Yarrowia lipolytica: one gene and its partners. The protein of the gene in region 2 binds, or shares a complex with, the protein of the main gene of each other region. Links are inferred from orthologs where the notes say so. Each region holds a gene or a part of one and is shown on either strand. Other genes may lie near its edges.

Region 1 (4,401 bases), on a different chromosome or scaffold from region 2:
TCCAGTATTGCAGGCAAAGGCCTTGAACGTCGGGTCTGTGGATTCTGGCAGACCGGTGGTGGAGTCTGACAGAGAACTGTTGAGAGTGGAGACCGCCAGGTACTGGGCCACGGTGTGTCCGTAGGCCCAGGCGACAGACGAAACAGGAGCTCCAGCGTTAATTACCGAAGCTGGGTTAGGTGCATCCTGATCGCCTCCACTGGCTTTCCAGGAAGAGCTAGTCTTGGGGGCCAGAGTGGTCTCTTCACCGGTGCTATTCAAAAGAGACATTGAAGGACCAAGGGTGGTGAGATCATCGCCCTTTTCGGCAGTTCCAAACTGCTCAGCCACGTTGACTTTGAGGTCAGGAGGCGTCTCGAACGTCACATTGGGCGTCATGATATTCTTGCCCCACGCGTAGGTCACGTTACCCCAGGTTTGACGGATAGCATTACCCTTGACCCGCGAAGCCTCATCAAAGCCGTAGAACAGGTTGAACCGGTCTTTGAGAGCCACCTTTCGGTCCTCTCCATTCTCCTTGTTGGCAGCCGCCGCCTTTGTCGTCGGAATCTTTTTCACAGGCATTTTTCGCGGCGTGTTTTTGAGAGTCGGCTTGACGGCCTTGGTCTTGGATTTGCTGGACTTGCTGGGCACGTAGTCCACCTCCATCTCGTCACCGTAGTTGCCATCTTCCTCCTCAGCCTTGACCTCGTTCACATCCACGTCCATGTCGTCATCTTCCACGGTCGGTTCAATGCCGGGGTTGAAGTCCGAGTCCGAGTCGTCACCCGCAAAGTCGTCGCCCTCCATCACGTAGGAGGGCCGAGGACGCCTTGATCGTGTCATTGTGGGTTGCTGGTGGAAAAAAGTCGCGTTCCTGTGTTTTTTTCAGGTCCGTAATTTTCGAACGTTATTGCATATCTCGCATAAACCTTGGCTGGGTAGTGTGAGGATGCTGAGTACGAAATAGAATATATATCCTGGTGAATAGTACGTGTTTGTGAAGAAACCGTGTTTCAGTTGGCAGATAATGTCTCTCAAACAACCTCTTTGGTCTCTAATTTGGATCCAGTACCGAGAATATAGCGCACGAGTACACAGGTCCAACGTCGTAAAAAAGGAGTCATACGACCTATGATCCAGCTTGCAATGGCATCACAAGTACAGTATTGTACAGTATGTGCCGGTATATACTGAGATATCGATATACCCCATAGTAACACCTTGGTTTGCACTTTACAACGTCTAGCAAACAACAGAGATTGCTCACCCTTCCGATTCGTAACTCTTCACTGGAACCAAGGTTTCGTCACTGTACTGGCGCGTTTGTTGATACAAGTCTTCTACACACATCTACATTTCACACTCTCAATATCAAATATGTTACTATATACATTTATCGTCGTCGGTACTTGACAAACTCCTCCTTCTTGGAGTCCTCCAGGGCCTGGAACCGCTTGGTGGGGTTCTCGGACATCTCCTGCAGGTAGTTTCGGGGGGTGGCCTCGGGGACCTCCTGGGAGCCAACAACAGGCAGATCGCCCTTCTTGATCACCTCCCATCGGCCCGGCAGACGCCTGGAAGCTCGCTTGAAGGCCTCCTTGACAACCTGGTCGTGCATCTGGCCTCCAACCTCAAATACCACCTTTCCAGTGGGCCATCGGGTGGCCATGTTCTCGATATCTCCCTTACCCTTACCCATTCGGATATTGACACCCTTTCGAGTGACGGGGGTGGAGAGCAGAAACCGTCGGTAGAGCTGAGAGCCGGGAGCGGCCTTTCGAATCAGCTGAGCAATGGCTCCGTCAGCGGCCTTGAGCTGCTTGTCAAACAGCCGCACACCCTCAGAAACAAGACGCAGGCCCCACTGGCCAAACTCGACCGTGGAGCCTCGAGTGGATCCTCCGGTTCGGACAGTGATTCGGCCTCGCTGGGCCTTTCGTAGGTTCTTGAATCGAGGTGCATACTCGTGCTTGTGTCGAATGGAGCCCAGAGTGGGAACAGCAAAAGGAGACACGACAGTAGGGCGGGTAGCTGAGTTAGTACGGCCGTCAGAGGAGCACGGTATTGAGGGTGGTCGACTCGGATAGACCTGTTGGAATGACAGGGATTCCTTATTCCCTAGGTTCCTTAAGTTGTGCAGTCATTCGTGAACTTCCGATCCGAAATTTTTCACTCTCACCGTGTCGTTTGGCACGGTCGTATTGTCGCTGAGAATCGATCTGCTGATTGCATGGCTTCGCTGAATGCCTTCCAAGTCTCTTCCTTCCCCATTTCTAGCGTTACTCACCCCGTAGTCCGTTTACCAGTCGAGCCAGCATTTTGGTGATTGTGAAAAAATTAGCTCGTGTATTTGTTCAGATGGCTGATGAGTAAGCTGCACGAAGTTTATTCGACAGCAGGACATGCAGTACTTAGCCTTTAGTTGAACATGCTAAGTAACTCCCAACTGCTCAAGTACACCACACAAGGGCATCAGACAGGGGATGGGGACCGGAAAAAACATGAGCACTTGCTTAACATACAGTCATGTGACCTTAATATACCCCTCAACCACCACAAGCCCTTCCAACCCCTCTCTAACTCAGCGTATCAGTACATTCGTCGACGTTCGAACTGCCGGGTAACTGGGCCAATCTCATATCGTCACGTGATTCAGGATTCTGAAAATATTAATCCCAACCTAACCAAAAATTGCAGCATAGAGCAAATCGACCACTACAAGTAATCCAGCATGGCCAAATTCGACATCAAAGAGACATATCTGCGCTTTCTGCGGGACGACCCCGACATCACCATGCCTGTCGCGGCCATTGAGGCCCTGGTCCAGCTGCTCAGTGAGACCGAAACCAGCACATCAGCCGAGCTGATTCAGACTCTCAAGGAGGCGAGCGCGGAGCTCAAGACGTCTGTGGACAACTCTATGTCGCTTTCTGCAGGCTGTGATCTGTTTATGCGATTTGTGTTGCGAAATATCCGGGAATATGGCGACTGGGAGGCCTGCAAGGGCCATTTGGTAAAGAACGGAAGGCTGTTTGCCGAGCGAAGTAAGGCTGCTCGAAAGACCATTTCGGAAAAGGGTCTAGCATTTGTGCGGGATGACGATGTCATTCTGGTCCACTCTTTCTCGCGAACGGTACTGGCCCTTCTGGAACATGCTGCTAAGAACTTGGTGCGTTTCAGAGTGTTTGTCACAGAGGCTGCTCCTAGTGATCAGGGTAAGCGAATGGCCAAGGCATTGAGGGAGAGAGGCATTCCCGTGAGTCTAATTGTGGACAACGCCGTCGGATCTGTGATTGACGAGGTGTCCAAGGTGTTTTGTGGTGCCGAGGGAGTGGCGGAGTCTGGAGGAGTCATCAACCACGTCGGATCATATCAGATTGCCGTGCTAGCCAAGAACGCAAATAAGCCCTTCTACGTGGTCACCGAGAGTCACAAGTTTGTGCGAATCTTCCCTCTGGCCCAGGCCGATCTGCCAGACACCAAAAAGATGTTCCACTTCACTGTTGAGGAGCCCGAGGAGCAGAATGCCGACAAGGGTCTGTCGCCAGTCGTCGACTTTACGCCTCACGATTACATCACTGCACTTATCACAGATCTGGGAGTTCTCACTCCAAGTGGCGTTTCTGAGGAGCTGATTAAAATGTGGTATGAGTAAGACTGACGGGAGTGGCACAGTGCGTGGAGTATATAGATAATGGAAAGGTATGCAATGGTTCATTGGATAATGGAGGTGCGGTCAGGGGAATGATTACAACAAGATAATCATGTATAATTTATTCGTACACAATTGTACTTTTACAAGTGCCCTCACAACGGACGGACTAGCCAATTCTAGTCGACTTCTACTTATAGTCTGCGACTTCTTCAACGTCACCAGGGATTTTCGCGACATCTTCGACATGTTTAGGGATTCCAACAGCCTTGGCTTCCTTTTCCTTGAGAGCCACTTCCTCCTCCTCAATCTGCTCGGTGAACTTCTTCACTCGCTGATTCCACCAGTCGGACTTGCCCAGATGGTCGAGAGAGCTCTCGGCCTTGTCCTCCTCCTCCTCGGGCTGCACCAGCTTGATGGCAAACGTTCGGAAAGCGTCCTTGACGGTGTATTTGCCGCCTTCAACTAGATCCTTAGCCACCAGCTCTCGGGTTCGACCAAGAGACTCGATAGCAGATACTCGGTCGGCAGTCTCTTCGAGAAAATCATCAAACCCAGGCATGTCTGCAATTTCGTGAAAGGCCTGCATCATGGGAACAGAGTCGGCTCGTACTCGTGACAAGGAGTCAATGGTGAAAATGTTCAGGTTGTCGTAGACTTGAATGTAGTCGGGACGGGTCATGACCTGTCTGGCTCTCCATAGAGGCAACTCGGGCAGTTTGTGGTCGCTCAGATGCAAGGTGTTGTAGATAGACACGTCCTTGAGC
Region 2 (4,652 bases):
CCTTCTGCTTGAGGTTGTAGATGCTGATTTTAATGGTTTTCTCCGCGCTCTTGAGCATTTCTCCAGCGCAGCAATCTGCCGCTTCTGGTTTCGCTCAACCACCTCGGCCACCTTGGCAATCCGCTTTCCATACTGCCCTCTTGGACAGTGTATGGTGGCCTGGTCGAAGGAGAGAAGTTTTACGGCGGATAACCTCGCAAATTGTGTAATGTAACTCTAGTCTGACTTGTCACCATTTGGCCGAGCCACCCAATCTTGGACTTTGGTCTGGCGGACCATGTCTCCTTTCTTGTCTGGAAAAAACCCAGCCTGTTCGGACTGTGTCGCTGGGCGGTGTCGCCGGACTGTGTCGCCGGGCTGTGTCGGCGGGCTGTGTCGACAATAGGTTTCAGTACTGTGCTACGATCCATGTCACATGGCATATTTGAACTGTTGAAGAAGATACCCTGATTGAACCAGTGTTTTGTATTCTCTGATTGTCGGTGTACAGTATGTACTCGCACTCGCACAGGACTTCCAGTGGTCGCGATAACCACGTGCTTTGGGGTAAACAAACTGCCAGCTTAGAAAGAACAGAAAGTAGAGTCGATAAAAGTCGACCCTGTTGGAAATGTAAAGTTGTCGACAGTATACCGATCTCTACCATTGTTATCTTCAAAGTGCTGAATGTGGCCTTATCATACGGTACACCAAACGGTGCTAGGAACGATACCGAAGACGGCCGCTCTGGAGAGCTGGAGCATATTGGTGTCAATTGCAACCCCAATTTTCACACCATCAACTCGCCTCTATTGTAGCTGTTATATTGATGCAGATGTCATCAATTGTATATCTCTCCCTGTTCTCTAACCGACATCTCAAGAATACTGCAAAAGACGTCTACAAATAAAAAGTGTGTCAAAGCTGTTTTATTTTGGTCCATTTTGTTTTTATCGAGTATACAGCTCTCCACCATCCTCTCTACTGCGCGACTCTGCCCCACGTTCTCGACATCATCACCTAGACTCCGGTGCAGGAACCTTCCACTAATATTTCAAGTATGCTGCTTCATCATCAACAAGCAATAGGTAAGGAGTGCACTCCAACCAGACCACTTCAGTTCTTTACAAAACATTCGTAGAATGGGTAACGAAAATGTAGCTAGTCTACAAACTGAATGATCGCAGAGAATTCAGTTGTCTACTCGAAACATACCTGTTCCCGCTCCCCATGCTCATTGAATCATTTTATTCGACGTCGACGTCTCCGGCACTCCTTGTGTCATGCCTCAGCTCTACTATATACACTAAATAACAACGGGACCCTTGTCGATAAAAGTCCCATTGTACCCCTCTTCCTGGGGTCGGGTCTGCTCAATGGGGGAGTACAGGTAGTATCCCTTGAGAGCGTTGACCGAAGCTCGGATCTTGGCCTCGGCAAGCGACGCTCCCTGGCCTTCTCCAAGCTTGTGCTTGCCGGAAAAGACACCAACAACAAAGACGGGGGCCTTGGACAGACGGCCGGTCTCGGCCATGAGTCGGGCCTCAGGTCGCTCCAGTCCCTCTCGTGCACACACTCGCACAATCTCCTTGTGGGGCTGGTTGAAGGAGAAGAGCGACTCAACGTCGACGGCTCGCGACAGAATGAAGTTGTCGATGAACTTAAGCGCCTCGTCTCGCGACACGTGTGCGTGGATGGCGGCCACCAGAGCCTGCACAAACCGGGCAGCCGATCGCTCGTAGCCCTCGGGAGCTGACGAGTCAAACACGTAGACCTGCGAGTCGTAGTTGTGCTGCGAGTTTTTCTTTTGCTTCTGGTTGTATTTCTTCACGTCGGATCGGGGAGTGTAGGAGTCGAACACACCGTCCTTGGAGGCGTTGCTGACGTCGTCCTCCACGGGCTTGTATCTCAGGTAACCCAGGGTGTTTGCGAGCGAGTCGTTGGACATGTGTCGCTCAAAGGCAGATCGTCGGTCGGTCTCGACACCCCAGGACTCGGCCAGACGAGTCAGAGATCGCAGACTCAGATGGGAGTCCAGCAGTGAGTTGAGAATGGGTAGAGGAAGCCGGGGGTACTGGACCACAAACTTCTCCGTCACGTGATACTTGAGCAGACTGCCGCCAAACACAGACATGCCGTAGTTGTCGGCCAGCTTTCGGCCGTCCTCTCCCACAGTGTCGGCCTCGGGACAGGTCAGACACTGGGCCAGAGTAGACAACGGCAGAGCCTCGGGCAGACCAAGACGAGCATGCAGAGTTTTGAGAGCAGGCGACTGTCGGGCCAAGTCACCGGGGACGAGGTAGTCGCCCTTGGCCACGTCTCGAAGATTGACACTCAGATCAGAGTTGGGGTACCGAAGAGCTGTGGGGTCCATGGTGGGGGCCTGGGGAGGAGTCTTGGGTTTGTGGTCAGAGGTGAAGCTTCTCGGGGCGCACGTGATGAGTCTGGACCGGGACACGGCCACTCGAGACACCCGCAAAAGTCGACTGGTTCGAATCATCCTGTCGTGGTGATATGTGGAAAGTGAGTTGTGAGTACAGCTGTAGGGAAATTTTCATGATGCACAGGGTTAGGGTGTGGGAGGAGGGTGGTAGTTTCTGGGCGAGTGTCGACCTTTGTTAGAGTTTGGGTAGTGATAAATAGTTTGAAATGAGTTATTTAGTGTATATGGCTTTTTTTTTCAAAAAAAAGTGGTATTATTGATATATAACAACGCTCGTAATCTGTATGTAGAAGGGACATGAGGAATTTCATTATATGGTGAAAAATTGAAATTATGAAAAAAATTGAAAGATGCAATCGATTTTATTAGCACTTTAATTATCATCTGATTGATTTCTCCATTAGTTTCTGATCATGTTCATATATTTACTCTGATTTGTTTCAACTTGTTCATTATATTTTGATTTGTTTTAGCTTAATCATTATATTATGATTTGTTTCAACTTGTTGTGAGTATGTTCCCAATAGTTCCCAAAACAGCCCGAGTATCTCAAAAAAATTATATTTTAGTCATTAATTTTGCAATCACCTAAAATTCTTGTCAATTTATTATCCACATTTTTCCTAATTTATCCAAATTGGTATAATGGCGAATCGAGCATGTCTCCATATCCGTGTCCCGGCTGACTAATAAAAATAGAGTTCGCTCCCAACCACCAATCACCGACCAGCCAAAGACTAGAGGTTTGCAGAAAGGTAATCCACACACTAACTGCAACATATATCAAAATGGTGAGTGCGAGCGGAAGGATTGGAGGGCGAGAAAGCGACGAGAACGTGTGCTACGCATGCGACGAGGACATGGGTGGTTTTTTGTTGGTTCGAATCGGACTTTGGAGCGACATATGACCCAGTGATGAGATGAGATGCGATGACATGTGTCTGGGTGAAACGACAACGATAAGGGCTGCGTGATAACGACAAGGGCTGTGCGAGCTGCTTGCTGGAAGATCGAAGCTGACCTCGGCGCTTGATCTGAGCTGTCATTGAACAGACACGGTGGGTGAATGTGGGGTATGACCATCCAATGGTTGCAGCAGCATGTCAAGTTGTGTCTGAGATCGTGAGCAGAGATGCCACGTATGAATGAATGAACGTCATGGACCCGTCATTTTCACTGCTCAGTTCACTCCAATGACAGTCTCATCGCACTGCTCGTGGAAACGCTCGGACGCGCTCAAGGCAGTGGACCCCGAGCACGACAACCAGACGCAACGAACAACGACCCAAGCTAATATCATCGTTTCTCAATACTCCATAACTCGCCGTAACGGCGCTTTTGTCTCATTTGACTCTTCTAACCCAGGGCGGAGGACGATATCCATTCCCTAAAGACGTCATTTCTATGACCGGAGGCTGGTGGGCCAACCCCTCCAACTGGAAGCTCAACGGCCTTTTCGCCACCGGCATCGCCGTCGGCCTGGCCCTGTGGGTTTCTACCGCCACCCTTCCCTACACCCGACGACGAGAGGGCATCACCTCCGAGTCCGACATTTCCAAGTGGAATGCCGCTGCCGGCGTGTGGAGAGAGCGACACGGCAAGATCAGCACCGGTGAGGCTGCTGAGTCTGAGTAAACACAATAGATTGATTTGAATGAACCATGCCGACACTTGTGCAGTCACTACTTGTAGTGTCACAGCAAGTTGGTTGTAGACCCAATCACTATCGCTGCAGGATGCTTCGGGTGTCTGGCTACTTGTATTTCGTACAATTACTGCTTGAAACCTGTGTCGCGTAGATATCCTGTGGTTTAATATCTCTGGAAGAGCGTCTGAGAGCACAAGTCCTTGTATCGTGAACATGCAGACCCAGCCGAGACTCCGTCGTGCTGCAGATGAAATCGATACGACAGATGAGTATATGTACTGCCTGTTCAACTGGGTGTAGTTCGGGCGGCGTTATACTCCAATCGGTTGTTCCCCACTTGCCACCATTAAACCGTGGAAGCTCGATTTTCGTTGCAGTGTATAAATAAATATTAATTAGTATATGATACGCCCCTCGGTATGCAGACACTCTTGACGGGGCCGTGGTATCAATCGCAGTGGCACCCCTCAGATCCTCCATCTCGGCCGCTCAAACCGATACAGCTTGATCTTGCTCTTGCGCTTGTTCAACAACGCCAGATCGGCCTCCTTTCTCGCCTCAATCGTCGCCAGGCTCTCATCA
Region 3 (4,198 bases), on a different chromosome or scaffold from region 2:
ACTACGCCACAGGCAGTCGGGGAGACGCCAAAGCGCGCCATGTCGTCTGTCCTTCGCCCACACCGCCTCTCCAGAGAGTCAGCCAAGCCCCGAGCCCCTTGTTTTGCACATCCACCAACAAGCTCTAATTAAACTACCGACCTAGTAGCGCGCTAGGGATGCAAGCAAAAAATCTAGCTCCGGAGGTCTAGCCCGAGGCTGGCAGTTTATAATGTTGGGGTGGTGTCTCTGGCGCTGCAATTGATTCCACTCGACGAAAAATGGGAATCAAAGGCTACTTTAGCACTATGAGAGAGCGGTTCACGCCGCTGACGTTGGACCAGATCGGCAAAGGTGTTGTCTTCGTGGACGGGCACATCATGGCCCACCAAATCGCCAACATGGTTGATCCAGGCAGCCGTTACGACATGCGTGGCGTGGCCATGAAGTTGGAGGAGCTCTTCAACTGTTGGATCGGCCAACACAAATGGGATATTCAGCTCGTGCTGTTTGACGGCCTGGTGCCCACAGACAAAATGGACGGCAGACGCAAACGGGCCATGGAGTCCCTCCCCACGGCTCTGCATGCCCAGAGTCTCGCTCTGACCGTTCTTTGTGGAGCTCTGTGTCTCGATACGATCCAGTCCAAGTTCCCAAATGTCCCGTGCTTGGTGTCTCCAGGCGAGGCAGACCGGGATCTGGCCTGTCTGGTCTTCAACTACGCCAAACTGAACTCCAACAAGGCCGTTCACATCATCTCCAACGACTCAGGTTTCTGCGCGTTCGACTTTCCGGAAAACGTGCACGTTGTCAACACCCTGGTAGGAGGGTTGGAGAACTCGGTTCTGTATGCCCTACCAGTCTCACGAACAGTCGCCAACTGGATCGGAGTCAAACCTACCCTACTGGCATACTCTGTCATGAAACACAGTGGAAAGGGACCTTCACAAGCGAAAAAGTACGAGGAGGAAGAGGGGTACCTAGAGTTTTCACAACAGCAACAACAGCTGCTAGCCAAGGCCAGTTACTCATCTGTAGGCGAATATCTCGCCGAACCTGTCACTCGAAGAGCATACCAGATCTTTGGCCAACAGCACGACGAGTTGTTAATGCATACAGCTGCGAACGCATGGATCGAGTATGGATACGGATACGTGCTGCTACCCGTCATGTGTGAGCCCAAGGAGTTTGAGTATGCCTTTGACGCTGGACGAAGGTGGCGATCTGTGGCGTACGAGATCTGTGCCCAGAGACTGATGCAGGTGTTCCCCGAAAAGGACTTTGTGACATCTCATGTGCGTGAGTTTGTGCGGATTGGAGAAACGTTAGGAGAGATGGACGTGCCTATTACCGACCACGAGAGAGCAAGATACAACAAGACCGGTTCACATTACCAGCTGTTCCAAAAGGAGGAGCTTTTGCGAGCGGTCAAGACGTGGAAGACTTCGGATCTGATCAACGCCATTTGGATAGAAATCATGGCCACGTCTCCCAACGTCCGAAACACCAAACTTGAATTTGACGCCCATCACATGAGGGATAGGGTGGTCAAGTACTTGAAGGAAGCATGGAACGACGAGGGAGTGTTTGCTCTGCGAAGGTACTCACGAAAGGAGCGTAAGTTGATGGCCCGCAAGTCGTGCGCAATGGAAGCAACGGATCGTCGGTTCTACAACAAGCTGTTGGCCTGTTTCCAGAGCTTGCGAATGCTTCAAGCTGTGGGAGTCACGTTCCCAGTCGATGTTCATTTGTTTGATCTTGATGGAACTCGATGGATGTCTATGACCAAGTCGAAGTGACAAAACAACCGAGCCAAGTATTTATATATGTGACAATAGATGATTACAATTTTAACTTGTTGTACAAGTATCTCTGAGTAGCCGAAGTATTAGTAGATTTTTATATATGCATATATTGTAATCGAACCAACAACCACACAGCCAAACGCACTTGCCCTCACCTCCTCAAACCCTAACCGCAGTGAAAAATACTGCATGGCTCTGGGCCGACTGGGATCAAGAAAGCTTTCAAACACCCGAAACACATACACACAAAATGCGACTTTCCGGGGTGTCTCGATTCGGCGCAACGGTCGCCAAGTTACAGCGACCTACCATCACTCTGCCCACCAAGCAGGCCTCCGGCATCGACGCCAACAAGTACAAGGGCGGGCTGCCTCTGCATCGACCCTTGAACCAGGAAGAGCGAGTTGCCAAGCTGGAGCAGGGCATCGAGTCTGGCGACGCCCATTTCGCGCTGGGTAAGCGGGAGGTGTGGTTCCCTAAGGAGCAGGTTATTCTTGTGCGACCCAATGCCAAGCTGACCCCCTACCAGGCGTCCTTTCTCACTCCTCTGCACATGAACAAGATGGAACTGCGAGACTACCTGTACAACGTCTACGGTCTGCGAGCGCTCAACGTGCGGTCCGTGGTTTTCCCCGCCGCATTTGAGCGAGAAAACCCCACCCGACCCCGATACCGAAAGCGAATGATCAAGAAGATGACTATTGAGATGGAGGAGCCCTTTGTGTGGCCCGAGGACACTGACGGCTTTCTGGCCAAGATGGAGGAGTCGGCAAGAGAGACCAAGAAGCTCATGGACGAGGTCACCGGCCTTGATTCCCTTGGGTCCAGTCGAGATCGACCCTCTACTGCCTTTGGGGGAATTATGGGCCCCTACAAGAAGGCCGGATCACCTTTCGTGGCCCAGAAGGTGGCATCCAAGCTTGGCGGCTCCAAGCGACGAGAGGCCGAGGCCGAGGCTCAGCAGGAGAAGATGCGAAACATCGCCTTCTACCTGGCCAAGAACAAGCAGGCTGGCATTCCCCAGCCTAAGACAAACTAGTCTCTGTATATAGAAAGGATATGTTATGATAGCAAACACTGTAGAGAGTGAGAATGAGTATGGGAATGCAGAGAATGAATATGCTCAACATGTTATCTATTACGAGCATACTATTACCATCACGTCTATAAGGAAACATTAGATGAGTGTACACTGGGTTGTTACAGTACAACTACAGCAAAGTGTTGAACATGAGTTCATATCACAAGTACAGCAGCTAGAAGTACGTATCTTACGAAGTAATACTTGACCTGATAGATTGAGCATGTACAATCGTCGATGCTCACTTGGATGATCTGCTTAACCATAAAGGCGAAATGCGGTGTTACTGTAAACACCCAATCGTCTACAAAGGTCTCCCCCATTCATGTCCATACCTCCAATAATATTATATATACAGCTAACGCGTTCCTTTTCCTTCGCATCGCCACTGTGCGCCACAGTTTTCCTTATAAGAAACCCCGGAAAGAGTTGATCTTCTTGGATTCGCTCTTTCTAGCAGCATTCTGCCATCCTCCCCGCCCTCGAGCTCGTGGCCGAGAAGAGTCCTCATCCTGAGATGTAGAGTGCGAATGCGAAGGAGGCTGGGGCTGGGGGATGTTAGTAGCAGATGTTGCGTGGCTGCCGTGGCCTCCAAAGTTCATGCCCAAGTGCTCAACTGCAGGAGAAGGTGTCTTCGAGTTGCCTCCAATGGGCACTCCTCGGTAGTAAGCCGAGTCCGAGCCGGCTAAAGACGCTGACGACTGCTTGGTGGTTCTGTGGGAGTTCCCAGAAGACTCTCCAATGGACTCCACGTCGTAACCAAGCAGACTCTTTTGGTTAGTGTTGTTGAACAGCTCACCAGCGCCAGGAGACAGGTTCTCGGCCTCTGAAGACGCGGCGTATGTTCGGAATCGTTCGTCCAGATCTTGGTACCGCTGAGACAGCTCTTGATGACTAACTGACAGCTGATGGTACCGATTTTCAGCCTCCTGTTTGATAGTCTCAAGCATCTCGAGCACCTTGTGTGAGGGCTGAGTCTGCTTTTCAATGTTTGTCATCTGCTCTTCAAGTTCTGCGATCTCGCCTCGCAACCGTTTCTCCATTGTTTCCTTCTCGTGTTTCAGGACTCCTAAGTCAATCTTAGTTTTCTCCAGCTCAATGTGAAGATCTGAGTTGGACGATTGTGTCTCGGAGCCCCGTATGTTGTCAGATGAAGATTCGGCGGAGGCCTCGAGGCTTTTCAGCTTGTCTCTATACTCGTTAATCAATCGATTCTCATTTTCCAGAGATTCGACCTTGAGCTCCAGCTGTGTGACAGCAGCCTCCTTGGCCATAGCTGCAGCATACAGTCTCTGGTTCTCAGCCTGCATGTGCTCAAACTCGAGGTTGGTTT

What was found. Proteins that work in one complex are often made in the same cells at the same time.
Region 1: YALI1_D22704g (region 2) and YALI1_C25301g share a complex: the UniProt entries of both Saccharomyces cerevisiae proteins name them as parts of the mitochondrial large ribosomal subunit. The link is inferred for Yarrowia lipolytica from reciprocal best matches to the Saccharomyces cerevisiae genes MRPL3 and MRPL16.
Region 3: YALI1_D22704g (region 2) and YALI1_E15274g share a complex: the UniProt entries of both Saccharomyces cerevisiae proteins name them as parts of the mitochondrial large ribosomal subunit. The link is inferred for Yarrowia lipolytica from reciprocal best matches to the Saccharomyces cerevisiae genes MRPL3 and MRP20.

What each region holds. Positions count from the first base shown.
Region 1 is NC_090772.1:2,528,002-2,532,402, forward strand, and holds YALI1_C25301g (uncharacterized protein), read right to left. Parts: upstream 2,215-4,401; coding exon 2,162-2,214; intron 2,109-2,161; coding exon 1,376-2,108; downstream 1-1,375. Other genes in the region: YALI1_C25288g (uncharacterized protein), read right to left, coding at 1-825; YALI1_C25307g (uncharacterized protein), read left to right, coding at 2,714-3,637; YALI1_C25336g (uncharacterized protein), read right to left, coding at 3,825-4,401. UniProt on the Saccharomyces cerevisiae protein: Component of the mitochondrial ribosome (mitoribosome), a dedicated translation machinery responsible for the synthesis of mitochondrial genome-encoded proteins, including at least some of the essential transmembrane subunits of the mitochondrial respiratory chain.
Region 2 is NC_090773.1:2,268,234-2,272,885, reverse strand, and holds YALI1_D22704g (mitochondrial 54S ribosomal protein mL44), read right to left. Parts: upstream 2,480-4,652; coding exon 1,286-2,479; downstream 1-1,285. Other genes in the region: YALI1_D22691g (uncharacterized protein), read left to right, coding at 3,211-3,213, 3,788-4,057; YALI1_D22663g (uncharacterized protein), read right to left, coding at 4,538-4,652. UniProt on the Saccharomyces cerevisiae protein: Component of the mitochondrial ribosome (mitoribosome), a dedicated translation machinery responsible for the synthesis of mitochondrial genome-encoded proteins, including at least some of the essential transmembrane subunits of the mitochondrial respiratory chain.
Region 3 is NC_090774.1:1,525,351-1,529,548, forward strand, and holds YALI1_E15274g (mitochondrial 54S ribosomal protein uL23m), read left to right. Parts: upstream 1-2,034; coding exon 2,035-2,823; downstream 2,824-4,198. Other genes in the region: YALI1_E15256g (uncharacterized protein), read left to right, coding at 261-1,778; YALI1_E15318g (uncharacterized protein), read right to left, coding at 3,273-4,198. UniProt on the Saccharomyces cerevisiae protein: Component of the mitochondrial ribosome (mitoribosome), a dedicated translation machinery responsible for the synthesis of mitochondrial genome-encoded proteins, including at least some of the essential transmembrane subunits of the mitochondrial respiratory chain.